4 linked regions of the Arabidopsis thaliana genome follow. The protein of the gene in region 1 binds, or shares a complex with, the protein of each later gene. Each region holds a gene or a part of one and is shown in the gene's direction. Other genes may lie near its edges. The genes, in order: MED32, MED9, SFR6 and AT5G03500.

What was found.
Region 2: MED32 (region 1) and MED9 share a complex: the UniProt entries of both Arabidopsis thaliana proteins name them as parts of the mediator complex.
Region 3: MED32 (region 1) and SFR6 share a complex: the UniProt entries of both Arabidopsis thaliana proteins name them as parts of the mediator complex.
Region 4: MED32 (region 1) and AT5G03500 share a complex: the UniProt entries of both Arabidopsis thaliana proteins name them as parts of the mediator complex.

Annotation. Positions count from the first base shown.
Region 1 is NC_003070.9:3,970,036-3,977,129, reverse strand, and holds MED32 (mediator of RNA polymerase II transcription subunit-like protein), read left to right. Parts: upstream 1-3,835; 5' UTR 3,836-3,888; intron 3,889-4,296; 5' UTR 4,297-4,318; coding exon 4,319-4,774; 3' UTR 4,775-5,144; downstream 5,145-7,094. Other genes in the region: AT1G11770 (FAD-binding Berberine family protein), read right to left, coding at 1-1,451; AT1G11765 (Plant self-incompatibility protein S1 family), read right to left, coding at 2,809-3,222; LEW1 (Undecaprenyl pyrophosphate synthetase family protein), read left to right, coding at 5,642-5,689, 5,847-6,117, 6,187-6,248, 6,379-6,574, 6,655-6,751, 6,840-6,922. UniProt on the Arabidopsis thaliana protein: Component of the Mediator complex, a coactivator involved in the regulated transcription of nearly all RNA polymerase II-dependent genes.
Region 2 is NC_003070.9:20,550,990-20,558,233, reverse strand, and holds MED9 (mediator of RNA polymerase II transcription subunit-like protein), read left to right. Parts: upstream 1-3,979; 5' UTR 3,980-4,059; coding exon 4,060-4,533; intron 4,534-4,602; coding exon 4,603-4,665; intron 4,666-4,750; coding exon 4,751-4,831; coding exon of another isoform or gene 4,832-4,910; coding exon 4,911-4,969; intron 4,970-5,055; coding exon 5,056-5,113; 3' UTR 5,114-5,329; downstream 5,330-7,244. Other genes in the region: AT1G55090 (carbon-nitrogen hydrolase family protein), read right to left, coding at 46-246, 324-452, 534-629, 712-879, 965-1,141, 1,257-1,395, 1,500-1,635, 1,736-1,904 and 5 more; AT1G55070 (F-box and associated interaction domains-containing protein), read right to left, coding at 5,601-6,782. UniProt on the Arabidopsis thaliana protein: Component of the Mediator complex, a coactivator involved in the regulated transcription of nearly all RNA polymerase II-dependent genes.
Region 3 is NC_003075.7:2,494,392-2,502,604, forward strand, and holds the start of SFR6 (sensitive to freezing 6), read left to right. Parts: upstream 1-3,539; coding exon 3,540-3,877; intron 3,878-3,954; coding exon 3,955-4,023; intron 4,024-4,113; coding exon 4,114-4,202; intron 4,203-4,285; coding exon 4,286-4,398; intron 4,399-4,509; coding exon 4,510-4,611; intron 4,612-5,055; coding exon 5,056-5,146; intron 5,147-5,333; coding exon 5,334-5,930; intron 5,931-6,138; coding exon 6,139-6,757; intron 6,758-6,851; coding exon 6,852-6,931; intron 6,932-7,254; coding exon 7,255-7,337; intron 7,338-7,776; coding exon 7,777-8,013; intron 8,014-8,213. Other genes in the region: NSF (AAA-type ATPase family protein), read right to left, coding at 399-449, 537-618, 699-794, 1,100-1,275. UniProt on the Arabidopsis thaliana protein: Component of the Mediator complex, a coactivator involved in the regulated transcription of nearly all RNA polymerase II-dependent genes.
Region 4 is NC_003076.8:873,918-881,431, reverse strand, and holds AT5G03500 (Mediator complex, subunit Med7), read left to right. Parts: upstream 1-3,056; 5' UTR 3,057-3,658; coding exon 3,659-3,682; exon of another isoform or gene 3,683-3,765; coding exon 3,766-3,906; intron 3,907-3,988; coding exon 3,989-4,058; intron 4,059-4,231; coding exon 4,232-4,398; intron 4,399-4,487; coding exon 4,488-4,561; intron 4,562-4,698; coding exon 4,699-4,759; 3' UTR 4,760-4,992; downstream 4,993-7,514. Other genes in the region: AT5G03510 (C2H2-type zinc finger family protein), read right to left, coding at 201-1,079; AT5G03495 (RNA-binding (RRM/RBD/RNP motifs) family protein), read left to right, coding at 6,407-6,427, 6,582-6,634, 6,731-6,880, 6,948-7,109, 7,241-7,351, 7,445-7,514. UniProt on the Arabidopsis thaliana protein: Component of the Mediator complex, a coactivator involved in the regulated transcription of nearly all RNA polymerase II-dependent genes.

The DNA of each region.
Region 1 (7,094 bases):
GGGGTATTAACTCCAATATCCAGATCCCTGTAATTGATATAAGTGTGTCTAGGGTTCTTGGTCACAAAAGGAGCCATGTAGCTATAAAAGCTTTTCGCCTTCTGCAAGAAACTGGTTTCCGCTTCGGTTCCCGGATCTTTCCAGTTCATCGAATGCTGGATTTTGTAAAGCTTCTTCCTATGTGGGAATGGTGTCTTCGTTGTAGCCACCGTACTCATTATCCCTCCGTAAGGATTAAACACTAACCCTATCTTCCCAACTTCAATCATTTTCTTGAACAAGAAATCTAAACCATCTTTAGTGATCTCTTTCTCAACGAAATCAGATTTCCTTTTCCCGAAAGTCGCCATATCAGGGTTTCGGTCCAGTAGAATCTCCGGTTTAATCTGCGTAGCGTTATCGTTGTTTGCCCACCACATCACCGACTGTATCCAAGTCATCTCCGTGCAGTTCTCCTTCTTCAAACCAAGCTCCGGGAATTCTTTGGTTAGCATAGACATAACAGTGTTTTGGTCCCCCAAGAAGAGAGCCACAACCGATGCTCGAACCGTTTGCATTTTATTCCTAGTCACCGGCTGCAACAATAGCCTCATGAATAGACCTGGATCGGTCTTGGGTGCAACAAATTGCCATTTATGAACCATTTCAGTAGCATTTTCGACTAAGTTTTTCTCTACTCTGAAAACGGTTACGGTCGGTGGAACAGGGACGAGTTTGATCTTGAAAGCTAGGATAACACCGAAGCTAGCACCGCCTCCACCGTTAATGGCCCAAAACATGTCTTCTCCCATTCCTTTCCGATCAAGAACCTGTCCATTAACATCAACGATTTTGGCGTCGGTGACGTAATCAACGGAGAGTCCGTATTTTCGGATCATGTTTCCGTAGCCACCACCGCTAATGTGACCTCCGGCTCCAACCGTGGGACAAACTCCGGCGGGGAATCCATGACTTTTGGTTTTTTCCCAAATCCTGTAGTAAACTTCACCGAGTGTTGCACCGGCACCGACCCATGCAGACTCTGTGGCGGGGTCGACGGTGATGTTACGGAGATTTGACATGTCGAGGACGAAGAAAGGAACGTGAGAGATGTAGGAAACACCTTCGTAGTCATGACCACCGCTTCGAGTTTTCAGTTGGATGTTTAGCGATTTCGTGCAGATGACGGCAGCTTGGACGTGACTCTCGGAACGCGCCGCGATTACGATCGCGGGTTTCGGAGTCGCTGTGGTGTTGAAACGCGCGTTACGGATGTAAGCGCGTAAGACGGGGGTGAAAGCGGCAGCGGTTTTTGGTAAAACGACGTCGGCTAATGAGTTAGGAGGAGCTTTTGTTTGGTTTGTGAAACATTGGAGAAAGTTTTGGTAGATTGTTTCAGGCGGAGGTTCGACGGCAAGAGAAGTAGAGATGAAGGAGGAGATTAAGAAGAGAATTAAACAAAAGATCTTCATTTTTTTTTTTTTGATTGGATTCTATTTGGTGTTTTCTGTAGTATAAATAGTTACATGTAGTCTTTAAATTTCTGTTGTGATTCTTATCGTTGGCCATTTTTAGGATTTGTTGTATTGGTCAAGGTTTCTCCTGTTTTTTTTTTTTTTAATGGTTTAATTGCTCAAGATTTTAATATAGTCAAGTTAACTATAGAAAGATCACAAGTTTCAGAAGTCAAGTTAACTTTAGAGATTTTAATATAGTCAAGTTAACTATAGAAAGAACACAATTTGTTTGAAGGCATTGTGAGAAAGATAAATTTTTAGAGGTATTGGATTAGGTTGTTTTGGGAAGAGAATAACATGTCTTTCAACCTTTATCTTCCTTTTTTTTGAGGGATCAGTTATTTTTGTTTTCATATTAGAACTTGAGATATTAATGTTCTATAAAACGGTGAATAAAAGACCAAAAATGTTTTATACTACAAAACAAAATTATTTTTGATTCAATCTAGAGAATGAAAAAAAAGAGTTACGACCATGACAAGTTATTTGTTATTCAAAATAAATTTTGTTGAAAATAATTTAATGTTCAGAATATTTGTTCTAAAATACATTTAGAATAACAAATCTTGAAGCGATTTTACACTTCGTTCTAATGACATTAACAAACTGAAAAGATATACAAATATAACGTTTAGCAATCTTTTTACAAAAACATAAGGTTATACTTTTCAGCTAATAAGAGTAGAAGTTATTGTAATGATTTGAGAACAACATGTATTTTCGTGATGCTACTAAATTAATATGTTTTGAGAGTTTATGAATTTTGAGAGTAGTGTTGTTATATGGGATCTGAAGCATCCAACATAGCGAAACATCATTCGTTCCATTTTTTTCGGTGGCATTCTTTCGAATTTGCGTCGAGTGTCACTTTTCTATCTACATAAACCAAAATTCTAGGCACTGAATGTCAAAAAAAAAAAAAAAAAAATCTAGGCACTATAATAAATGCAAGGAGGATGTATAGCTGATATATGATCTTACAAACAAAAACACTTCGAACAAAGGCGAGAACAAGTAATTAAGCAATGTCAAGAGCTTGTGGCGCAAACGTAATGTTTTTTTAATAATGGCATGTTATTTTTTGTTCTTGACGAATTCCTTAAATTGACATGAGGATAACATGCACATAAACAAATTGTCCTTCTTTGAATCATTCTGAAACTTCTCCCTTACACTTTTCTTTGAATGTAAAGAGTGATTCTTACATGAAAACAAAGAGTAATAATAATACTTTACAACTATATCAAATCAAAGATTTGAATAAGCATTTTATAAATATTGGATAAACATAGGAGAGTTTTATCCAACATCCCTAATTCCAATCATACATCTTCCGCATACGGTGTATCAAAGTACTGTGATAGATCCCATCTTCTTGAGCAACATAATTATACGAGCCACCATGAGGCATTCTCTTGTCTTGAACATATGCGTCAAACTTCTTTTGTACCTTGTAATCAGCTCCTTTATACATTGTACACCAGAAAAGTGTTTCTCCCATAACGTCATCGTGGAAACTAAAACCCCAATCTTCTCCAGGTTTCATATATCTTTCACGAACATCATTGTCCCCAGATTTACAACGTACCTTGAGCCATTTGTTGTGAGAAAGACTGTTCCTGAATAACAACGACGTCTTTTTTCCTTTAAATGGATTCGAATGGCCATATGCATTGCTAATCATGCATAGGGCAAAGACAACTAGAAAGATTGAAGTATTTTTCATTTTTTCTTTCTAGATGCTTAGAGGTTTTGTCATCGGAGTAATTTTTTATTTACGGTATTGTATATATAGACATATATGTATGCTATTTTTGAATTTACGTTCTTATTATATATTGCTCTCTTATTATTAGTATTTTCTATTAATGATTTGCGGTATCAAATCGTTTCAAACACAACAATAGATATGGATGGTTGAGTGGAGAACAATATATGGATTTAGATCTTTGAGTAAATATTTCCAAAGAACATTTGTTTTCAACACGGACAGTAATTTGACGTGATACATTTACCAAATACTACCTATTATATTCTGCCAATTCGTTACAAACAGATAAATAATTCGATTAGTATATACATATCTATCGTTTAATTGTGATAACTTTATTATTATATTAACACTAAAGTTGATTAAAATCGTCTTGATTTCGATTAGATGTTTTATTTTATAACATTAAACACACATATTTAAAAGATGAGAAATTAAATTGTATGTATATGGAATTTTAACATTAAAAAAAAAATCCAAATGACCAATCCGGTTTATGTCGGTCCGGTTTGTATTAACCAATCTTAATTTCAATTTTTACCATATAAACCTAACCAGACTATTACAATGAAGAAGAAGAAGAAAGAAAGTGACACAAATCGGACTCTCCGTTCATCGCCGGTAAGTTTCTCCTCTTTATCTCCGGCGGTTTTGGGCTGATTTTTTTAGATTCTGTCTAAAACTGCTCTAATGATTCAATTCCTTCACGAGTTTACGGATTCTATGCCGTGAATTTGAACCCTAGGTTTGCGAAAGCAATCGCGAGTTTTGCAATTTCGTTAAATTTCTGTCTCAAAGATGTAATCTTTTTGATCATTTAGCTTCCATTGCTACCGTAGCATCTTATTCTTTCCCTGAGGTTTTGAGTTCTCTCATTCTATGTGTAGCGTTAACGAGAACGAATTAAGATTTTTTGAGGTTTTTAGGGTTTCTTATTTCCAGATACTTTTGCTGGGATCTTACTTGATTCCTTTTGCAGTTTTTTCTTGTTTAACTTGAAATCTCATGATTGATACTTGGTTTGAGCAGTTATTTGAAGGGGAGGGATCAAATGGATAACATTGTGGACTCATTGAACAAAGCTTATGAGAAGTTTGTTCTTGCTTCAGCTGGTGTTCTTGAGTCTAAAGAGAGTGCAGGTGGACAAAAAGCTTTGCTCACTGATACTGCGTTGGAGAATTTCAAGGAGAAATGGGAACTGTTCCGTGTGGCTTGTGATCAAGCAGAGGAGTTTGTGGAGTCAGTTAAGCAGAGAATTGGATCTGAGTGTTTAGTTGATGAGGCTACTGGTTTAACTACTACTGCAGCAGGTGGCCAAGCACCAGCAGCGGTGACTGGTGCTGCGACTAGTCTCCCTCCCATTAGTGCAGTAAGGCTTGAACAGATGAGTAGAGCGGTTCGATGGCTTGTTCTTGAGCTGCAACGTGGCTCTGGTGTAGCTCCTGGTTCTGTTCATTCATCCTCTACCGGGTTTGATTCTAGATTCTCTGAAGACTCGACTCAATAGCGTGCCTAGTTAGTGTTAAGTTCGACAACCGCAGCTCCATAACTCTCGAGTCAGTCGTTGTGATGGGAAGAGTGGCCTAATCAGTGTTATGTTCTGTTATTTCATGGGATTGAGCCAAGCTAGAAGCAACACTGGGGGTATCATTTAGGACTTATGACTCTTACTAAATATTGGGCTTTTTATTCTGAATCTCAAGTAAAGAAGCTGTTCTTTTTTTGTGTGATTCTTCATATGTTATTATGTTTCTGTTGTTTCAAAAAGAATACTAATTTTGATCTTGTACATGATGTGTTTTTGGTTTTGTATTAACCATGATTATCAAGAGTTTAAAAATGTAAACGAACTAGTATAATTTTGAGTTTTGATTACCTCACGTTCACAGCAAAATCGTGATAAACGTAACAAAAACATGAACACTCACAACAAAACCGTGACAAGAAAAGTTAGAAACACACTTAAGACTTAAGTTATAGGGTTTGAACCCGAGACGTCTCACACTCCTCTCAGATAACAGAGTTAGTTTCGCAAACTAGAGTGATTTTTTGCTAAGGTTTAAGCAAACGAATCGCCAAAACCAGGATACAGAGGCTAATAAGATCATCTTCAAAAGTGTCTCACTTTTTCTAACCTCGCCTCCAAAGATTCTTCCTTTTCCGATTCCGATGAAAAGGAATTTTGGGTTTTAGGAAAGTTCGATTGGTTGGTTTGGAAACATCTCCCTAACACACGCAGCAAACACCTTCGTTGTTTACGGAGACAGTCACTTTTTGTGTACGTCTCTCTTCTCTTTGTTAATTCTGATTTCTGACAACCCTTTTGTTCAAATTTCTTCTGATTCTGTTGTGTGTTTTCTGATTTTTCAGATATATGGATTCGAATCAATCGATGCGGCTCCTCAGTGCTTGGATTGGTCAAGTGAGATTTTTTTTTGTATTCCTTGATCATTGACAGGCTTTAGCTCATTAATGCTTCAACAAGGCCTATGGAATTAAGTGTTTAAGAACAATTTGGTGTTGCCAATTTGAGTCTTCAAGCCATAACTTTGTTTCTGTTGAATTTTTGTATTCCACAGATTGGTGATCTTGGTCTTAATTTGCTATGGCGTTTTATACACATTGTTGTGAGCTTATGGTACATTGTCTCTGGCATATTTGAGGCAATAGAAAGCTATGCCATAACGTTAGGATTGAATAAAAAGTACGGTTCCATCGATCTTGAGAAACTCCGGTGTCTAGCTGTTGTAGTGGACATCGAAGCAGCTCAAGATGTTGCCAATGTTGTTGAGCTTTTGCAATGGCTAACCACCATTGGGGTTAAACAAGTTGGTCTATTTGACTCTCAAGGTACATGCTTTAGCTACTTATCTCGTTTTTTCACGTTCATTAAATGATTGCTGATGTTGGCTTCTTTAGGTTTATTGAAGAAATCCAAGGATTTGATCCTTGAAACCGTTCCAGGTTCCATGTTGTTAGAGGTATATTAATCTCATACCTTTCATTTAGTTTGCTGCTTTACTTGTGAATCAAATCTTTAGCTTATGTTGTTAGTTATGTAGCTCATGATATAAACTTTACCTTGTCAATGTTTTTGTTTTTCTTTCCCAGGAGATTGAAAAGGATGTTGCGCCTGACGGAAAGCGCATTGCATTAGAATTCATTTCATCTTCAGACAATAAAGAAGCTGTTATGAAAGCAGCCAACATACTTCTTCAGAGATACTTGAAATCCAGCCATCCTGAGGACGACAAAGGGGAAGACTTTTTTACAGAGTCTCATTTGAATGACGCATTAAGAGTTGTTGGTTTGTGTTGACTCTCTCATATTGGATTCAAGTCATTATTAAGTTTATTTCCAAGAATCTGATCATCAATACTATGGCAGGTGAGAATGTGCATGTACCCGATCTGTTACTGGTTTATGGACCTATAAGGAGCCACCTCGGTTTCCCTGCTTGGAGACTTCGATACACTGAGATAGTGTACGTGCTTTTAACTCTTTTTCTCTTATATCTTTAGAGCTAAATCTCATAGAGTTTGTCTTTTTTCTCGGTATTTGTTTGTTGATAGACATATGGGAACTTTGAAGTATATGAGATATGGTTCCCTTTTGAAGGCAATTCACAAGTTCACAGGAGTCCACCAAAACTATGGTAAGTCTCTCATCTCCCACTACTTTATATGCTCTTCTCACACACACAGTTTAGATACTAAAGTTTCTACCTCTGAGCTGGACTGAGTCACCTTTTTGCCTTTTGAGTCTCAAATCTTTACTCCAAATGTTTCCACCTATGAATTTGATTGAGCCACCCACCCCTAATTATT
Region 2 (7,244 bases), about 17 Mb from region 1:
CTTCCAATTTGGGTTGAAACAGAGAGGGTTTAGGGATGATGTTCATCAGAGACCCGCACTTGGGTCTCCGGAGTTTGCTGCTACAACTCCAATTTCTTTGTTGGAGTTTGCTTCTTCTTCCGGGAAAGCAACTGAGTCACCATTTAAGCTGTCAACAATCTCGTCAATCTTCTTAAACTGGTATGGCCACTTGCTGTTGTACAGAAACTGCCTCAGATCGAATCTGTTGTCCTCTGGGGAGTAACTCTGCAACAAAAAGACAAATGAGTTTTTTTGTTCTCTCTCTCAAGACAGATTCAAACATGTTTCAAATAAGCAAGTACCTCAGCGTGATAAGACGGTGTGAGGACAGTCATTTTGTGTCGATTGATCGAATAATATTTGAAGAAATACTTCACTTTCTCAGCTACTTCTGCTGGGCTTAGCTTTGTTCCCCACTTGTAACATAGATTCTGCAGAATCACAGACCAGCTTCAGTTTCACTGCATCATATGATTTAGTAACATTTGTGGCTAGTTTTCAGAAAATCAAACCTTGAACATAGATACTGGTCCACAACGGAATATCTTCCTCATCCTTCCATAGACTGAAAGCTCTTCATATGTCATTCCCATGTCGACTTCATCGAGCTGTTTCAAAACTCAAGATATCTGAACTGACATCTTCGTTGACTTTATAACTATATAGAGTCTCAAATATTTTTGTTATTACCTGAGAATAGTCAGAACGAATGGGCTCAAGCTCAGCTGTTGGTGGAGCAGCTTCTATCTCTGCCAAGGATGGATATCCGAGATTCGTTGCAGCCCATTTTAAGAACAACCTCAAATCCATTTTACTGATACTTCCTATAGGATTTATGTCTGCTGAGCTGCAATCATACTGTTTCAACCAAGAGAATGAACAATATTTTTTAACCATCTATGAAATTTGAGATGTAGCAGCCAAAAAGTGATTACTCCATTACCTTTGTCAGGTAACCACGAAGTCCTTCATCAACGTTGGAGCTGCCTAGAACAAGGTAAAAGCCTGGTTTGCTATGAACCCAAGGCAAGAGAGACGCTAACATAAATGCTAACACCATTCTCATCCGGGCTTGAATGTTCTGCAACCCAAGGTTCTCAGCATTTGATCCTCCATCAACCTAATAAACAAAACCAACAACCATTTTCACAATTTTAGTTCTTCTTCTCTTCTCCAGATGATCATATTTCATTTTTTCTAACAGTTTGCCTAGGTAATGTATATTCAGACTTTACCTTATACCTTGGTCGCTTGCCTGTAACTGTTTGAAATAATGATAAAACTGCAGAGACAACACCATCTATGCAAACATCAAGATGCCAAGCACCAATCTCGTCTGCCAGCTGCTTTGAACGCCTTTTTGTCTCCTCAGAACTGCAAATTTAAGATTTCAATATGGGGAAAAAAGTTTCATCTCTGCTGTAAATCCACACAGTGACGAAAAATCATATTCTCTTTGCTCTTATTAACTAATTCACCTGTTTTCAGAACCCATAAAGACAGTGTAAAATATTCGTTTGGCAAACTCTTTGCTATCAGTAGGAAACTGCCCATTAGCATAATTCCCAATTCGGTTCGCATCAGCTTTTACTTGCTCATCTCCCTTTGCAATCTCTAAACAAGAAAGAAAATATACTCTGAGAGAACTCAATATCATGAAATTTCAACAAGACAAAACACAGTTCAACATACATAGAAAAAAGCGCCAGTGTACCTTTAACAACAAGTTGGCACATGCAGCCAACAATAGCTGCCACGGAGGAGCTGTCTGCTCCGCCAGAAAGAGGAAGCAAAAATCCTGAAGCGCCACTTCTTCTCAAATAGTCCCACATCCAGCAAGCGGGACCAAAGGCTATTTCTTCTTGTGGAGAGTGGTAAATGATCTACATTACTAATGTATATTAGAGTGGAAAATTTTAGATGTTAACTTAACATCAAATACTCAAGGATGGAGAACCTTCTTCGGACTGCTTAGTGTCATTTTCAGGTTGAAGGACTGTGTAAGTCTACAGGGCACAGCTACTGAAGATACTTTAACCTTGCAGCTTGCTTGTTCCTGAAAGCTACTTATAGATCCACGAAGGCTAGCAACCTTTCTCAAGACAAATAAGCAAGATGATCCTAAGAACTTTTCATTTATATATCACAAAACAGAAGAAAGTAAAGCCAAAGGGTAACTGTGGGATACCGCATCAAGATCCACTTGTGAAATGATGACCTCAACGTCTCTCAACGAGAATTGTGAGCCTTGAGCAACAACATTCCCGTTTACAACAATACATGCACATCCATCTGCACTTGGTTACAAATGAACAAATCTCACTCAAAAAAGTAGATATGATTTACTCAAAAATGATACTTTCAATAATTTTAAGGGTTGTCAAACATACCGTAGTATAAGCGGCTACCATCGCATCCTTGTTGATTACTGTACATATACACCCCACCACGAGCATGAGTAGCCCCCATAAAAGCATTCAGACGAATATCTAGTTTCCTAAGTTGGTGATGACTCCCACTTGCATTCATAAATACTTCAACACCATTCAATGCGAGCTCGGCATGAGGAGGAAGTGGACTAAACAGTTCCTCACAGACTTCAGCTGCAACAGCCCTGATAAGGAAATATAACTGATACAGTTAAGCAGACAAAATCATTGACAGTGTTGAAATGGAAGCATTTATCCAAACTCACGTGTCGATAAACTGGATGTAACCATAACCAAAAGGGACTGATTTCTGCTCCAAAGCCTCTGAAATTTCAATGGGGAGCTGAAATTCCTCTAGCTCTTCTCTCTGCTTCCAAGCTGTGAACCACCGTAGCTCCCTATAGTTTCCATCGTTTGCGAGCCACATTTTCGGTCGAATCATGATGATTCTTCTGTTCATACAGAGAACCTGGCAGTTATAACGCTCTGCTCCTTTAATCACAGGCATTCCTATGCTGCACAAAATATCATCCGTCCAATCACCAAGCAGCAATTCCTTCAAACACTCCCACCTGAAAGAAGATATTCACATGAACATAAGAAGAAACGGTTAAACATGATTCCGATAACTAAATTCAGAAGAAAAAGAAATTAATTCCATCATCTAAAGTGATAGTACCAAGTCATTCATGCCATTCATCATCGAAATAGAAAACTAAAAATAGAAGCTTACGCATGAGTGACAGTGTCGAGTTCCAAGAAGTGATCCTCGCAACCATAGCCAGTGACCTCGAGCTCGGGTCCAAGCCTGATAACAGCACCAGCAGCCTTTGCCTCAGCGATCGAAGCCTTGATGTTCTTCATGTTGCTCTCGAAATCCATGGCCCATTGGTTCAAGTTACACGTAGCAACCTTCAACAGCCTCATCTTCGTCGCCTAAAGAGAAAGACAAGTAAATTTACTGTACATCAAGTAGTGTAAAAAATCTGACTTATCTAAGGCACAAACTTGTTCATGAGAACAGAAGCTGGTTAAATTAGTTAAAGGAACAAACTTTGTATTACTTTGCTAATACTAACAATTCAAATTCAATTTTAACAGCCATAATACACAATATCTGTAACGAAGAACTCGTCAACGCAACACTATTCGATGTGAATCAATTGCCAAAAGAAGAGAAGGAAGAATTGGAGCTTACGTGAATGTGCAAAGAAACCAAGTATCAAAGTCGTGAAATTCGGAGATCGTGAAAATTGAAAACTATGGGAGTTTGTATTTCTTTCAGATGTGAAATTCACAGACTCCAAGTGATTGTGCAGTGCTCGTGCAGAACAGATTGTGACCGACCAAGAAGAACATTCGGTTTGAGAGGAAGAAGAAGAAGAAGAGATTGATACTGAAACGACGGCGTTTTACGATTGTAAATTACAAACAAAACCTTAACTGAGAACAACTTCGTTTTATCATGACACGACATCATTTTTTTTTTTTTTTGGTCAAAACACGACATCGTTTAAGTTCCCACTTTTGTCTCTTCTTCGTTCTTTTAAGTTTTAATAGACGACGACGGCGACGAGAAGGAGAATTAGCGAGATCGGAAGGAGAAAAAATGGATCAATTCTCAGGAGGAGGAGGTAATTGGTCGATGATCCCAAACGTGCAGGCGCAAGGTAACTTCGGTACACCGACGAATCATGACCAGCAACTATTCCTCCAGCAACAACAATTACAACAACAACAACAACAACAACAACAACAACAGTTTCATCTTCAACAACAACAACAGACGCAGCAGCAACAACAACAATTCCAGCCACAACAACAACAAGAGATGCAACAATATCAGCAATTCCAACAACAGCAACACTTCATCCAACAACAGCAATTCCAACAACAACAACGGTTGTTACAATCTCCTCCTCTTCAGCCACAGTCGTTACAATCACCTCCGCCGCAACAGACGATGGTTCACACGCCTCAATCTATGATGCATACACCGCAGCAACAACAACAGTTGGTTCAAACTCCGGTGCAGACTCCTCAACAGCATCAGTCTTTAGCTTCTCATTTCCATCTCTATCCGGTAAGAGAAACAAAGAAAATTGATGAAATTGGAATCGTTGGGGGTTCTAATTTCGTGTTAATGACGCAGATGGTGGAGAAATTAGCTGATGTGATCGAAAATGGAACACGAGATCAGAATTCTGACGCCCTGGTTTGTTAAAAATCAAGTCTTTTAAAGTGGTTTTGAGATTTCTAGGGTTTCTTATTGGATGATGTTGAAATTGTGGGATTTGCAGGTGAATGAATTGAATAGCCATTTCGACAAGTGTCAACAGTTGCTGAATTCGATTTCAGGATCACTAGGATCTAAAACTATGGTAACATTTTGGATCTCTGTATTGGTTCTGTTTAATCTTTTGTTTCTTATGGATCTCTCTCTCTCTCTGTGTTTTATAGACTGTTGATGGCCAAAAGAGAAATGTTGAAGAAAGTGAGCAATTGCTTCAACAGAGAAGGTTAGCTAGATTGTTAGTATCATGTTTTATCTGATCAGATTGTGATCGTGCTCTTACTCTTTTGTTGTTAAATGTCTTCTGGTCAGGGATTTGATTGTGGAGTATAGGAAATCTATTGAAGAGATTGTGACAATGGAGCATTAGTTTCTCATATTTTGATTCAGCAACTGTTTAGCTACTTAAGACCAATAATTGTTATCAATAAACCAATCTTGATTCACATAATAAAGAGAATGTGGTTTTCTTCAAGAAAATTCATTCTTCGGATTACAAATAGATCACAATGCATAATGTGTTTTGTCTGCATCAAACCAAACCAAAATCTTTGTATGTGGGACATGCAACAGAAAGCTCAACCCAAAAACGATATAAGCCCAGGTAGTTGTTGAACATAGTGAGTGGTTTTGTGATTTAGATTCAGAACAGAGTAGAAAAAGCATTGTAGCGACCATGGAAAATTCAACCATTATTCCACAATGATCCTCCAAATATAAAACAAAACACCATTGAAGCCACATCTATTAGTCTTTTAAAAAGAAATAAAAACACCGACTTCTAATCTATCCCTACTCACTATTTTGAAATCATGATAATAGTCTTAAACAGGTAAAAAAAAAACCCAATAAAACACTCACGTAAGCTTCATATTCTCTAGATAGTTTGGAACAGCATGAAACAAAACCCGTTTAGAACCTTGAGATTCTGGAACTTCAACTCTTACTCTTACCACAATGTTCTCCTCGAGATTGTAGTAATAAAGGTAAAAAGGAACTTGTGGATCATAGTGATTTGGGCAGAATACAGCTTCACCTTTACTAGTAACTAAAAAGTTTACATCAATTCCATTGAACTCCGGCCATTGAAGGGGCTTTACGTAGATATGCTTTGACCATTTACGTTCCTGGCCATGCTCTAAAACCCACAACACCAAATCGTTATCATTACTATTTATTGAACCTAATTTACCCTTGTAGTTTATCAGAGAGGGAGGTTTCCAAGTAATAAAACCAAATTTCTCAGACCTAACGTCAAAGCAAACGATCATAGGTCCCAACATAGGTTTCATAGAGGTTGCTGCATAATACAAAACACCTTTGATGCATATCCCCTTATGATAACGGTGGGTATAATAATGTCTGCGACATTGGATCTTCCTCCAAAATAGATTTCTCCTTCCAGTCTCGAATGTGAGAACTTGATGCTGACTATCAAACTCCTCCCCTGTTCCATGATGCACCGAGGTTACACACAATACCTTGAACCGTTTGTTGATTGGATCATACCCGATGGCGAAATAGTTTATTGTCGCATGTGCTTCCAATATGGGTAAGGTTACGTACTGCCCTGTGATGGGATTATAAATCACAAAAACTGTGTCATTTTTTATCTTACGGTGATAACAGACCAGTCCGTGGACAGAGCTAAGGATTTGAGAGAAATCTCTAGGGATATCCGTATGATGATGAGCAGTGGCTACAAGAGATGAATTCTCATCTGGATTTTCAGGCTGTGTTGAAGTGTAGGAAAATAACATTCCTCCACCTAAGAAGGTGAAGATGAACCTCGGTGGATCGGGATACTTGATCGGGAACAACTGGTTATAATTTGGTTGTCGAATTATCGACGACAAGAGCTTACATACACAACGACACTTGGCCATAGACTTTGCAGACAATTTCGATAAGATTTTGATGACCAAATCTGCAGGGATTCGATCAAAGTATTCTCCTCCAGAGTTTGAACATCGTTTATTGGATTCAAATACGGTTAGGGTTAGGTTTTCTTTTGTATCCTGCTGCTTACGTTTTGTCATTGCCCTAGATTTTGACTCTGCTTGGTGATTTCAAAATCTTCATCTTATGATGACATATGTACTATGCCTCAATCAAGCACGCTCCATCATTTGGGCTTTTACTAAGGTCCACTAGATACTTTTAAGGCTTTGTGTTTTGTCCGCTGGAATTTAAGAGAATCGATTTTGTACCTCTTCCTTTCGTAATTTCCTCCTCTTGTCTCATCAGAAGCTGTCCTTTTTCATGTTTATACCACCTAGAAAGAAGATTACAATAGACCACGATGTTTTGTCTGCATCAAACAAAGTCAAAATCTTTGTCTACAAGACCACTTTTTCTATACTCTTGGCACATGCAACATAACCAGCGGTTCTCGAGATACATATATGTATATGAATAATATATACATTTGATTCCTTCTGATCAACACCAAAAAGAGAGGTGAATGGAATTTAAAGATTGATATCGCATCTCAGCTGGCT
Region 3 (8,213 bases), on another chromosome or scaffold:
GATTTTGTGAGGATCTAAAGGCCAAATAACCATATAAGTGATACCACATAATCAAGAAATACATGAGTAAATATCTGTAAGCATAATATTACAGGATTTGCAGAATGGTCACCAAATGCATTCACTGAAAACCAATGCTTCAGCAGAAAAATAAGGTAAATGACAAGATCCATGTACACATTGCTACAAATGGAAACTATATAAAACAGATTAGCTCGTATAGTTTCCATTTCCCATATAAAACAAATGGAAACCAATGCGTGCCTTATCTGTTTAGAAACCACAGTACTCTCATTTTGCCTCTCAGATGCATGCTTAAACCACAGCACGAGATGCATGTATCTTTGAAAACCAAACATCTAACAATAACAGAGACAGCAGAACAAGAATATCTCTACCTGGTTGGTGTATTTCCTCTTAAGCTGGGTCGAAAGGAGAGCAGCATCAACCTGTAAAGTAATATTGTACAGAGAAGTTGAGTTCAATCACAAAGCCTACAAATATCTCAAGAAACACATCATAGACATCAAACAAACCTGCTCGCTTTTAGTTCCTTTCTTCACAAATTCCAACTCCAGCGTCAGCATAGCCAGATCAAAATTTTCAGGAGGAACAAATCTGCAAGAACAAGACAATATTCAGAAACCAAAAACGTATTCATGCCAGAAAATTAATATAAAAACAAGCTGTATAATCACCTGCTAACAGATACCATATCACCAGTCGAAACTCTAGCGTGTCGCCTTTGAATAGCATTGAGAGCAATATTTCCATCACGGATGCTTCCATGTCCAGTAATCACCAGTTAAGTTCACAAAAATCGAAATAAATGACACAATGAACAAGTTCAACATTGTCACCGACCAAAGGAGCCTAGATTTCTATAATCCATGAAAACCAGAAAAACCTAACTTGTACTACGATCATAGATCAATCAATCATTATAAGAACCATTCATAAGGCCGAGATTCAAATTCGAAGATCGATTTTGGTAAATTTAGCAGTAATTAGCCATATCACATAAACAATCAACTCCTAGGATCGCATTTCGCATTGCAATGTAAGAAATGAATCGTAAAATGGAAATAAGAAAGGATATCAGAGAGAAAGAATGAAGCTATCGGCAACGTTGGCGAGGAAGAGATCGGAACCGGGAACGGAGAATTGACGGAGATCGGAAGAAGAGCAGTAAGCGAGGTTAGTAAAAGCTAGATCTGCGGACGGAGTATTGGTCACAGTCATCGTCATGACTTGCGATCCGTAACGACCCGCCATGGCTGGGGTTTCGATCTCAGGTTTCTTCGAGTCTTTTTGATTTTTGTAACCTTAACGAATAAGAAAATATTTGAGGGAGAAGCAATAAACAGAAGACTACGATTGCTTCCTTGATTTTAATAAGATCTTTTATTTTTCGAGTCCTGATCAATGTTTTGGAAACCAGACCAAACATTCCGGTTCGACCAATAGCCGTCTGAATTAAACCAAAAAGCGGTAAATTAAATCTGGTCATACCCTCTCGGCTCGGTATTAGAATCCGGTTTGCAACACAAATCATAATTCATTTTTTTTGTTGTTCTTTTCTTATTTTTTTTTTTTTTTTTCAGTCTAAATTTTAGAATACTTGCTCACTGATTATTTTGAGCAAGTCATGCATGAGACACATCCTCACAATTCAATTTGAGTTCGGATTAACCACATTTATTTATTTTTCAACAAATAGTTCAAAACTTCAATCGATGATCAATTATGTGAAACTAGAAGGTCAACACATAAAAGCTCAAAAGATCTTGGACTGTCACAGAGCAATGATAGATGATGGATGCTAATGAATGGAATAAACACAATGAGAAGGAAGATGAGGCAAAACAACCTTCACATAGGGAGATTTTTAAATTGAACAACTAGCTCAAGTAAACTTATAAGTAATGTTGTAAACATGGAATGAATAAGTTTGAAATTTGGTGCATTCTTAGATATGAGAAGGTGGTTAAAAGGGTATGGTGCAAAGACATATCCATCCCTAGTATTTAATAGATTGAAAGAAGGAATTTTTTTTTGGTTCTAGTTTAATGAGTGAAAATGAAAAAATAAATAAAAAGGCAAATGAAGATGAAGATGAACTCAAACTTTTGACTCTCTAATGTAATCTTATAAGCAAATAACCAACTTTTCTACTGAAAGTTATAAGAAAATGAGGCAAAAGTTTTATTTATATTAGGGAATTTAATGAAAAAAACCCTCAACTTTGGCCAGATCCATTTTTAAACCCTAAACTATGTTTTTAGTAAAACAAACCCTGAACTAAAACCTGTTAATAAACTTAACCCCACAGTAATTAAACAACGTTTAGGGTTAAGTTTATTAACAGGTTTTAGTTCAGGGTTTGTTTTACTAAAAACATAGTTTAGGGTTTAAAAATGGATCTGGCCAAAGTTGAGGTTTTTTTTCATTAAATTCCCTTTATATTAATTGAAGCCGCAAGCATGAGCTTGACCCGTTTGTGCTCATGGATGGCTCTGCTTGTATCTAGTTAGAAGCCGAAACAACTAGTTTTCAGTACGCTATGCATGTAACTCAAAGAATTTGGTGTAAGCAATAAGTGATTCTCATTCTTGGTCGTGCTACATTGAGGGAGATACAACAACCATGGGAAACACTTATGCCTAAGCCTAACTTTTGATTTGGGAGGAGGCAAATGAACTAATGCCTAAGCCTAATATTTTGCACAACTCTACTCGCGTGGCACCTCTTATCATCTTCAAATTGGTGGATCGTGAGCTTCGCAACCTAATCACTTCTCGACGACATCGCAAGCGTTGGCAGCGGCTAATGCTTTTATGGATTCGTTAAACACACCTAAATCTTTTCTAATTCTATTGTAGCCTTGTTTTTATTTTTTTTGCCTTGGTTACTTTTCTATAGGTTGTACGTTCTTGTATTTTCTGAACTCTCATTGTAATGATATTAACAAATTTAGCAAAAAAAAAAAAAAACTAATGTCAAACAAGGATCCTCAAATGCCAAATGTCAAATTAAGTTAGTACCTTTCCATGTTTACAAATTTGAATTTGAAGATGGTAAATTAGAAGAAAAAATGAAATTATGATCATTTTCCTTAATCAAAAGATTCAAAACTATCATTTAAAATTTACTTCTTCATTTTTTGCTCTTAAAAGAAAAAGTAAAAAATTACAAAAAGAGGGGAAAAAAATTTAGAGAGAAAGTGACCAGACACGACGGCGTTTTTGCATCACTTTCACCGAGATTTTTTTTCTGCATCCCGGCGACGAGACTGTGACTCCACCAAACCCTAAAATCAAAATTGCATTTTTTGTTCGATTTTGATTTTGTGGGGATTTTGGAATTTTCCCCGCACTAAGTCGTCTCGTTAACCCCACTTAACAGTTTCTCACTTTGACACTTTCTCTCTCTCTCAACGCACAGTGCTTTCTGTCGCCTTCAATCGCGACTTTTTGTCACACTTGCCCTCTTTTCTCCGATTTTTCTATAAATTTAGGGTTTTGTTTGCTTTCGTTGACATGAATCAGCAAAACCCAGAAGAAGAAGTTTCTTTGGTTAATAATAGCGGTGGTGGAGGAATCATCGAAGCTCCAGCTATAGTGGAGGAGAAAGAGGAAGAAGGATTACAGCAGAAGCAGGAAGAGACTATTGAGTCTACCGATCCGATTCTCGTCGTCGTTGAGGAGAAATTGTTAGAGAAATCAGTAGACGGAGAGAAAGAAGACGATAATAGTAGTAGTAGTAACATGGAGATTGATCCTGTGAGTCCGGCTACAGTTTTCTGTGTTAAGCTTAAGCAGCCCAATTCCAATTTGCTTCATAAGATGAGTGTTCCTGAATTGTGCCGTAACTTCAGGTTTGACTCTCTCTCCCATCGGAAAATCTTTAAATTTCATCAATTCCTGTAAAGTTTTCTCCTTTTCTTTGTGTTAGTGCTGTTGCGTGGTGTGGCAAATTGAATGCTATTGCTTGTGCTTCCGAGACCTGTGCCAGGATTCCAAGGTATGGTTTTTGTTACTTTTCTATGTCTTGAATGTATGGGCAGTGATGAATTTCTCAATTTTCATCTTTCTCTGTTCTCATCTCTTGCAGCTCCAAGGCAAATACACCTTTTTGGATACCAATACATATCTTGATACCTGAGCGCCCTACTGAGTGTGCGGTGTTTAATGTTGTGGCAGGTATTTTGATATCAGTTAATTATTTATGAACTCGGTTGATCTAGTGGGTGATAAACGATTATGATGCAATTTTTTATATGTAGACTCTCCTCGTGATTCTGTCCAATTTATCGAATGGTCTCCCACTTCTTGTCCTCGTGCGTTACTCATTGCTAATTTTCATGGACGTATAACTATCTGGACGCAGCCTACTCAGGTTTGTGCTCCTGATCACTGGGATTTACCTTTATATTTCTTCTTTGTCTTCTGTGTCAAGATGTTTTATGACACCCTCAGATGATTTTTTTTTTGTGGATTGGTTTTGCAGGGTTCGGCTAATTTAGTGCACGACGCTACCTCCTGGCAGTGTGAGCATGAATGGCGTCAGGACATTGCTGTTGTTACAAAGTGGCTGACAGGGGCTTCCCCAGTATGTAATCTTATGTTTTGCTTATTTGCCATTCTATCAAATGCACAGCATATTTGTCCCTTAATGAGTTCGTTAAATTAGTAATGGAGGGCTTGCATGTGAGAGTGGGCACTGGGATTACTAAATCGTGAGTAATTGAACTGGAAATGTCTCTACGTTTTGGAGGAAATGAGATGGAGAAAACACAACGTCCTGGAAATCCCAACTCTCTGTTTGCAAAATTACTAGACTCCTAAAAGATCTTCCAATTTGCGTTTCTTAGATGCATTTCTTTAATGATCGGCATGAACACATAAGGAAATGAGTAACAGATAGATAATAATGCCATTGCAAAGAACATGTTCTGAAGGACTTAATATCATGTTGTTTCTGGCCACCTAGTTTGCTGCTCTAGTTTTATCCTAGGAAATTTATCCTCTATGTTTTCTTTTTATTGATAATCAGTATAGGTGGTTGTCCTCCAAGCCAAGTTCTGGTACAAATGCAAAGTCAACTTTCGAGGAGAAATTTCTCTCGCAGAGCTCTGAAAGCTCAGGTTTTCTTCTGCGTGCCTCTTGTGACTCATTTTTTGATGATATATTCAGAATTATGCACTTAATTTTAATTATGTCAGTTCCTTTGACATCCAAATATATGTGACAAGATCAATACAACATGTTCTGACGTTAGTGCATTTTCCTCCACTTTATGTGACGGTTCTGATTCTCTACCATTTGTTGCAGCTCGGTGGCCCAACTTTCTCTGTGTATGCTCTGTTTTCTCATCCGGCTCTGTTCAAATTCATTGGTCCCAGTGGCCTTCTAACCAGGGAAGCACTGCACCAAAGTGGTTTAGTACAAAGAAAGGTCTTTTAGGTGCAGGGCCAAGTGGAATTATGGCTGCTGATGCTATTATAACAGACAGTGGTGCCATGCATGTAGCAGGAGTTCCAATTGTAAACCCTTCAACAATTGTAGTATGGGAGGTGACCCCTGGCCCTGGAAATGGACTCCAGGCGACTCCAAAAATCTCTACAGGCAGTCGTGTGCCACCATCCCTTAGTTCTTCTTCTTGGACAGGTTTTGCTCCTTTAGCTGCGTACTTGTTTAGCTGGCAAGAATACTTAATATCCGAGATAAAGCAAGGGAAGAAGCCCTCAGATCAAGATTCCAGTGATGCTATATCGCTAAGTTGCTCACCGGTTTCCAATTTTTCTGCTTATGTAAGTCCAGAGGCTGCAGCTCAGTCTGCAGCAACCACAACATGGGGATCTGGTGTTACCGCTGTTGCTTTTGATCCAACTCGTGGTGGTTCAGTGATAGCAGTTGTTATAGTTGAAGGTACTGTTCTCATCCTTCTCGGAACCTCATACTGTTTCCATGATTGAATAAACATTTTCAGGTTTACGTTTAGTTTTTGGTCAATCATTTAGAAATGCTCATATATTGAAGAGCTGCCAGATGAGAAAATGCTAATTTTGTTTGAGTGATGAAGCGCAACAGCTTCAATCTATTGTTTAAAATAAATGCTAATTGTTTGTGTCTGCAGGGCAGTACATGTCTCCGTATGATCCAGATGAAGGTCCTTCAATCACAGGCTGGAGAGTACAGCGCTGGGAATCAAGTGTTCAACCTGTTGTACTGCATCAGATATTTGGAAACCCAACTTCAAATTTTGGAGGACAGGTCCCCACGCAAACTGTCTGGGTATCCAGAGTGGATATGAGCATACCACCTACTAAAGATTTTAAGAATCATCAAGTAGCTGCAGCAGGACCAAGTGTGGATGCACCAAAGGAGCCTGATTCTGGTGATGAGAAGGCTAACAAGGTTGTATTTGATCCTTTTGATTTGCCAAGTGATATTCGGACACTTGCACGGATTGTCTATTCTGCTCATGGTGGTGAAATTGCGATTGCTTTTCTTCGTGGTGGAGTTCATATCTTTTCTGGTCCAACTTTTTCACCTGTTGAAAACTATCAAATAAATGTTGGATCTGCAATTGCTGCACCCGCATTTTCACCAACAAGCTGTTGTTCGGCTTCTGTATGGCATGATGCTGCTAAGGACTGCGCAATGTTGAAAATCATCCGTGTTCTTCCTCCTGCTCTTCCGCGTAACCAATCAAAGGTTGATCAATCAACATGGGAGCGGGCGATCGCTGAGAGGTATGTAATCTCTGGTATATATTTTCTAGCTTGTCTGCTTGCAAAGGAACTTATATTGTGACTTGAGATATGAATCTGCATTCTTTCTTAACAGATTCTGGTGGAGTCTTTTGGTCGGAGTTGATTGGTGGGATGCAGTTGGCTGCACACAGAGTGCTGCAGAGGATGGGATAGGTATACTTTAGTGCTAAGTTTCTTGATTTAAGTGTTATTTAATATCTGCAGTTGGATTTTTTTGGGTCTTTAGTTGTGGAACAACCACTGGAATTAGTTTTGCTTAGAAATATGACAGTTTGTATTTTAGTTTGGGAATAAGTTCTAGTTTTTAAAGGCTGAGTGTCATTCAAAGAACCTTTTCTCTGTTTTTCTATTTTGCTTTTATACTAAGGTTTGAATGATAGAAACTTTGAATGATAGTGGTTCAAATATTATATTGTATTGTTTGAATAATATACTGCTTAAAGCATTGGATGATGTATTTCTTTTTATGATTACAGTTTCATTGAACAGCGTGATTGCTGTCATGGATGCTGATTTTCACTCCCTTCCTTCAACACAGCACAGACAACAATATGGCCCTGTATGTTTTTACTCAACCCGAATCCAACTCATTATCTTTTTCCTTTTTAAATGTCTGAACTGTTTGCGTTGCGGTACCGTTTATTATGTCTTTGCAAAATATTTATATATATATATATATTTTTTTTTCTGGTTTTATAATGTAAAGCTTCTCTATTCCATGAGCATGCAGAACCTATTTTGTGTTGTTCTTTTATCGGACTATAAGATAGTGTAGCTTTCTCTAATTTAAAAAAAGAAAGAAAAAAGGAACAAACTTCATCTGACTTTAGATTATTTGAGTAGCCAATATACAATGCATCTGATTGACTGATTCTAAGACGCTGAACAAAATCTTGGCAGTCTATTGCCCCCTTGAGATTCTTCGTGTTTTTTTTGCTTTTTTCCTTTTTGGTTGGTTGCGCTTTTTGGTAAAGAACTTGTATTTTTATGGTTTACAGAACCTAGATAGGATCAAATGTCGGTTACTTGAAGGAACCAATGCTCAAGAGGTTCGTGCCATGGTTTTAGATATGCAAGCAAGGTTGTTGTTGGACATGCTTGGAAAAGGTATTGAATCAGCTCTTGTGAATCCTTCGGCGTTGGTTTTTGAGCCATGGCGAGTAGATGGGGAGACAATAACAGGCATCAATCCGGAGGCAATGGCTGTTGATCCTGCTCTTGTTTCCAGTATTCAGGTATCTTGATGCCTTCAAATCTGAGGATAAAGTTGTAGGTTTTCTTTGATGAAAGATGAAAATTCAGGCTCAAACCCTGGGAACGGTTCATGCAGTGTTTTCATTTAAAGAGTAGTTGCTCTTTGCTGATATATCTTAGTTTTTACTTTTAATAATCAGCCAACACATGCTGTATTAGATTTGGTTATTTAGCACAGCTT
Region 4 (7,514 bases), on another chromosome or scaffold:
ACTTATATACTATTGTGTATATATTGATGATTATTAGAAATGTGCTAAATTATGGAGCAATGAGTAGTTTCAAAGAATGAAATAATTTGAAGTTAATTCAATCAATGTCAGATTACAAGAATGAATGGACAATAATAAGAGAAGGGTTAATGATTTAACATATCAATGTAATAAAAAAGTAATTACAAAGAACTACTTAATTAGTGATGACAATCAATCAAAGAATTTGACGCGGCCGTGAAGAGAAGAATCTGATCTTTGGATGCAAACGCGAATTTCGGTTTCTCGCAGCATCGTTCATCTTCGGGTGCTGGAAGATTCAGATCTAACTGGAGAAAGTTCTTTGGCCGTATAGATTCTTCATGGTGATGATGACTTGATGATGATATCGCTGTTTTGATTGCTGAAGTAGCGTTTGCGTTTATTGTTAAACCTCTATGTCTCCTCATATGTCCTCCTAAGGCTTGTCCTGAAGAAAACTCGGCCTTGCAGATTGAACATTCATGTGTTTTCTCCGGTTTCTTGCTACCATCACTACTAGTCACTTGTAGGGAAAGAAAGCTTCCTACGGCTCCAGCTTCCACTGTTTCAACCGTAGACGCAGACGCCGTTTTCTTCTCGACGCATTTGAAAACGCTAGCTCCAAGTTTTGGCTTCTTGTGACTAGCCCTGTGCCCTCCTAGCGCTTGGAACGAATGGAAGCTTTTATCACACGTTTTGCACTGGTAAACACCGTCTAGCCCTAACCCTAGAGAAGCCACCGGTTTCTTGTTGCTAAAGAAACCCATTCTCTGCATCGACAAATGATCGTCGCTGCTCTTTGCTTGATGTCCTTGCGACAACAAGATCAGACAATTCGCCATATCTTCGTCTTCATCGGTAGCTCCTTGGAATTCTACTTCACCAGCAGCTTCTTCTTCTCTTACCTCCACTGATGATCGTTCACCGCTACAAACGCTGGATACTGCAGCAGCGTTCATCATAAGAGGAGACGCAGAACGCTGACGTTTGGTGCGTTTGCCCTTGATGAGGAGAACAAGACGCGCGTGGTCTCCACTCTCCTCAAGAACACTTGTCATGATCCTCCGTTTTTTATTTGCTCTCTGTATTTCAAGAACACAAGAGGTCGTATATGTATATATGGAGAGAAGTATCAAAGAGTGTTTGGTGGGTTTGGTTTATATGTCTAAGTATTTATATATATTTGTATGTGATTGTATTTGTTTATACACACAATAGTATTGTGTGTATATATAATGTAATGGGTAAGAGAAAAGATGAGAAAAGAAGCAAACCCAAAATAACTTTTGGTGAAGGATTCCTTTCTGGAAGTTTTGGTTTGCAAGCCTGGAACCACTTGTTGTTCTCTTCTTGTTTTTATTTTTTTCCTTTCAATTTTTTTTAAATGATTTTCTCTTTTTTTGGTTAACTTTTGTTTTGCTTGTCTTATGAATCACATAAAAAAAAATACTAGTATTTTACTTATTAAATACTCATAAGCATCCTTATAATTTCAAAAGACACACATCATTATAGCTAAAGTAACAAAAATGTGGATTCAATGTCAACACTAATCTTAGAAGATGTTATTTTATTTTCTTTCTGAAAATGAAATTAAATCTGTGTTTTCTGTTCAAGAAGGTGTCATTCTACATATACCATTTTTTCTTATTAATAAAATGAACTACAATTTTGACACTTGGAATGTAATGTATTATATTAAGAAGAATCAAACTGGATTGCGTATTCTAAATATGCCACTCAATTTATTGATTTTTTTTCCTTTGATTTCACATTATCACTAACTAAAATCCTAAAACTTTATAAATAATTTTATATTGATGGCTTGAGTCATCCACAAGTAGTTTCAACACGAAACACAGTACCACAACACACACAATTCAAGCATATTATAAATTCCTGCAAACTTATTACGTTTTGTAACAAATTACATTAAAGATTTGAAACCAACTATTATATATAAAAGCTACTAAAGTACAAATTTAACTTGAAAATACGTCGAATTCTGTTTTTGTTTCTTAATACTACTAATCATTGCGGATATATGTACACTTAAGTTGCTGATTAAATAATTAAGTTAATTAATTGGAAAGTAAAAGGCAATCGAATTTTGGGGTCGAGCAGTTCATGTGCAGTTGAGCCAACCCACAATTACACAACACACAATTATGAATCATGATTCTAGTTATGTATACAATATTTAGTTATAATGATATTAGCTAAAACGAATTAAATATATAATATCACTCCCTATGTTTGCGCCTCTTTCTAAGAAACTTTGATTTTTATTTTGGTTATCCAATTATTTGATCAAACCATTATTAATCTTGTGATTAGCTAATAATATGTATTCGATGAAGTAACCTCCCTTATCGTAGTTTGTAACTGTAGTCTAGGTCTTTGTAGTATAGTATACTAATAAACTCGGTGACAGCAATTTATAAAATTCAAGAAACACATGTTTTTTTAATATTCATTCTACATAATGAGTTTCTTAGAGCTGGATTGATATCCAACTTTTACTCATTCAACTCTATACACATTAGTTGTCTTTGGCTCTCAATGATTATCTTTTGCTAACGTGTTACTATACATACAATAGATCATTAAGAAGAATATTTTTGAGTGTATTGTGAAGCTAGTATCATCACAATTTTAAAATGAATAAATCAGGAGGAATTGATTTAAGTCTTGGCGTCGAGGATTGTGTGTGTGAAAGAGAGATAGAGAATTGCTTGGCCGCCAAAAGAAGCCATTACTTGCCAACTAGCTAGCTTCACTACTCAACCTAAGCAAAGCATATACTTTATAAATAAATAAATAAAATCATAAACATAATTAGTCGTCACCCATCATACATTCATCATCACCATCCTAACAAAACCTTTTTTACAAGGCTTCTCAAAAACCGTTAAGTAGTTGTTGCAACTTGCAAGGATCACCTAAACAAATTATACCGAAACTTGCACAATTGAATTCCAATATTTTAAAAACATTTTTCTTTTGTCATTTGAAGCATATAAAATGGTTCTGAATTCTGATATAGGTGGGTGGAACAGAGTCTTCCCCCATATAGCAAATCCCTCAACGGCTCTAGAAATACGTTTTAAGCTTCACGAGGAATAAGAAGATTAGGAATATATGGGCTTAAAGCAGGCCTGAACTAAATTAAAGGCCCAACTAAAAGAGAGGAAACAAATCTCGATTTGCTTTCTCTGGTGAGCGTGTCTTCTTCCGATCGTCTTCTCCGGCTGCGTGAATTCTCCGCCGAGCCATCTCTCTGGCGAATCTCCAGTGAGTTCTATTATTTTCACTCTGTCTTTTATGCTTCCCGTGAAAGGGATTTTTTTATTTCTCTCCCTCAGATTCTCCTTGTCGCCACCAACTCATTCGTCTCCCTACCCATTTGTGGCCACTGGATTTTTTGTATTGACCTTTCTTTTTTCCTCATGAATCAATTGAAATCTACTGTTAAGCATTTGACGATTTTGGACAAATTGGTGGTGATTTAGGAATAACACGGTTGTGGTGGTGGCGGCTACTTCAACGTGACGATGACAGATTAGTTTCTAGTGATGACAGATTAGTTTCTAGTGGTCGCAGAGTTATTTGGTAGTGATGACATAGTTGTATTCTAATGAGAACAGATTGTTTTATGGCGGTAGACGGATTTGTTTTTGATTAGAAACCCTAATTTTAGGAATCTGTTACTGATTTTGCTTAGTTTTTGATTTGGATATGTAGAGAATAATGGCTACAGCTACATATCCACCTCCTCCTCCATATTACAGACTCTACAAGGATTTCTCAGAAAACACTGATTCTGCTCCTGAACCTCCTCCTCCGATTGAAGGCACCTACGTCTGTTTTGGAGGCAACTATACTGTGAGTCTCCTCCACATTTCCCCCTCTTTAAAATCTTCATCTTTATGTGTTTTTAGCAATTTTCAATTTTTTTGGTTAGTAGACTGAAGATGTTCTTCCAAGCTTAGAAGAACAAGGAGTGCCTCAACTTTATCCAAAAGATTCTAATCTTGGTATGTCATTCTCCTAACTCTGTGAAATCAAACTCAAAATGCAATTGCTATTGGCTGTCTAGAGTATGGTTTTTGGTTCTTCCCTTCATTGGAATCAAACTTATTACATGAGTTCATTTGCAAGTTATGTTCTTTGAAAGTACCTCTTTGAGTTCAAATATCTTTGTGTGTAGATTACAAGAAGGAACTCAGGTCACTGAATAGAGAACTACAGTTACATATATTGGAGCTTGCTGATGTTCTTGTTGACAGACCTTCTCAATATGCGAAGAGAATTGGTGAAATTTCTTCAATCTTCAAGAACTTGCATCACCTTCTCAATTCCTTGAGGCCTCACCAAGTAAAGAAGCTCTCATCTTTCGATTAATTACAACATGGTTTCAACACTTTTTGTTTTTTCATCGTTTTGATCTTTCTCTTGTTGTATAGGCGAGAGCAACGCTTATTCACATTATGGAACTTCAAATTCAACAGAGGAAACAAGCTGTGGAAGACATTAAGAGGTTTGTATATGCTACTTAAGTTTTCTGTCTTTATGGTGTGTTAATAATTTAATATCAATCTATCATCTGTTTAAAGATTCTTCAGAAGCTTTGTTGGTTGTTCTTATGGGTCCGTTTGATGTTTTGGTTGTGTGCAGGAGGAGAGAAGAAGCACAAGGACTTCTTAAGGATGCTTTCGTCACTTTAGATGGTCAATAAAGTATACTTTTTGTTAATCCCATTTTGTGTAAATTAGCGCTAATAACCTATGCCCTCGAAACTTTTTTTAATTGATCCTGTGTGTGTGAGAGAGAGAGACAGACGTGTGCAATCTCATGATTCAACAAGTAAAGCCTATATCATCTTTATTCAATGTTACCCGTGAACCGGCATTTAGTTCCGCCGGTTAGTGCGGTTCAACATTTATTATTACAATTTCGGCTTAACGGGAACTATTATAACCATAACGGATTCATAAGAAGATTAGACCAATATGGGCTTAACGCAGGGCTAAACTAAATTGAAGACCCGACAGTTTGTTCGTAACTACACGTAAGTATCTGAACAACAACAACAGCTTTATAAGGGAATCAACAAAAAATAGTTGAACAAAAAAAAATTAACCTTGTTCAAAGCTAAATCCTGTCAAATATCTTTGGAACCCTAGCAGTCGGTCTTGTCAATTTATCATCAGCATGGACGAATCCGCCATCAAAGTAATCTTCTTCTCCTTATGGACTCTCCTCTTACTCACTCTATTTCTCTTCACAAGAGGATGGAGATGAAGATTAAGATGGATATGGACAGGAGAAAGAGGATGGAGATGGAGAATTAGGAGGGAGATGGAGAATTAGGAGGAGACGAACCTCTTTGTTTTTTTATAATGTATTTACCTTTGTTTGTTTTTGTCTTTGCATGTTAAAAGTAAGTAAGCTCAGTAATCATCACCTGCCTTGATCATGTATGATATGTCATTCTCTGGATGTTAGAAAAAAACAGTAGTAAGCTTAATCTATTAACGTTATCTGCTTTCGGTATTACAATGCAACCTTGTTTTCTAATTTTTAACAAAAATGGATCCAAAGCTATCTTTGAAGGTGATTTTAAACAAGTCATTCAGTTGGTCAACGGGAAGAGTCTTAATTTTGGATTCGGGAAGCAAAAGCCTGGCGACATCGGTTTGAAGATATCCAGTTTGTTTGGACTCCAAGATCAAACAATAGTCATTTTATTATCATTTTTATGCTCCACAATTTATTATTGATGCGCTACATTACCAAGTACTACAAGCTTCAACTTATAAAAAAAGAAGAAGATTAGAACCATATGGGCTTAAACGTAGGCCAGAACTAAATTCAAGGCCCAACAGTTTGTTCGTAACTCATACACACGAAATGTCCCAAACCAGAATAAAATTAGGGAATTAACGAAACAAAAAAGACAAAGAAACCTAGTTCAGAACTAAATCCCTAGATCATAGCAGTCGTTCTTGTCAATTTATAACTGATATAGGAATAAGAAAGAGGGTTAAATGGACACGTGGAGGGTGGAGATTAGAAGTTGGTTTAATGGCTGAGATTGTTTGGATGCTAACAGAAGAGAAAAGAAGCGTTAAAAGGAAGCGAAGAGGAAAAATAATCATTCATGAGATTTGTGTTGAATTGTTATCTTCTTCTTCTTCATTTGTCCTCTGTTTCTCTGAGAGTTCTATTTGAATTCTCATAGCTATTTCTTCATTGTGATAGAGCTGTTTCTACTTCTAAGCTTTATCACATGAGATTTGGATTCTCGTTTTATGAACGACGATTCAATGTGTGTTTGTGATTGGATTAATTGAGAAATTGTGGTTTCTCTGTATCAATAACCATGGACGAATCCGCCATCAAAGTAATCTTCTTCCCCTTATGGATTTTCTTCTTACTCACTCTTTGCTTAACCTCTGTTTCTCTATTAATGTTGTTTTCTTTCTCCACAAGTAAGAAGAAAAATATATCAAGTACGCGTAGTAGAATCTCTGATTAGATCTTTTGTTGTACCTTAGGGTATGAAATTGCTGCAATTGAACGAGATTGGTGCAAACTCTCGAAAGCCCCGGTAAATATATTATCTTGGGAATTTTATTTTGGTGGTACGTGCTGAATGATCATATAATAATATTAACTCTCCACCTGCAATCAAAATTGTTGCTAGTATCCCTTGGACGAAGATTTCCGTGGAGGGATATGACACTAGGCTCCGTGAGTATACAGTCAAGCTCGTGTTGGAAAAACATTTCGCTTCATGCGGAAAGATCACACATATTTATGTTCCCAGAGACTTTGAAAGGGGTATCCTCAAGAGGTACCGTACTTTGTGGCTTCGATTTTCCCCAAAAAAATATATAAACTTTGTATCCTTGGTTTTACAGTGTCGCCTTCATGTGTATCAAAGGAGAAGGTGGCGAAGAAAAGGCATTGCTGCTTAGTGGAACTGACGCGGGAGGATGGACTGCAATCGTTAAGCCTGCACTCTGGCAGAAAGAAATCATGGATCCTTGGCTTCCTGGCATGCCCAAACTTGAAACACACAGGTAAATTCTGATAATACTACCTGATCCTTGCAATCAAATTTTTATTAGTTTAGATTCTTGTGTATCTGTAAGACACTTGGCTTGTCATTTTAATTATATTCCTCATCTCCTGCAATCAAATTATTATTTAGGGTCCGCGTTACGGGATATGACACTTGTGTTCCTAAGATTGATATCCAGATGGCCTTGTGTGAACATTTCTCTTCATGTGGAGAGGTCACGCAAGTTGTGGTTCTGCCTAGGTTTGTCGCTTCTTTCTTCCTCCAATTTGTCCCAGCTCTCAAGTTGTTGACTCTAACTAATTAAAGACTCTTTGTTTCTGTTGAATTCGGCAGCGGTTCAGGTTCCATTTATCTTCAAGGAGAAAGATGTGAGGACAAGGCGCTTCAACTAAATGGATGTAAA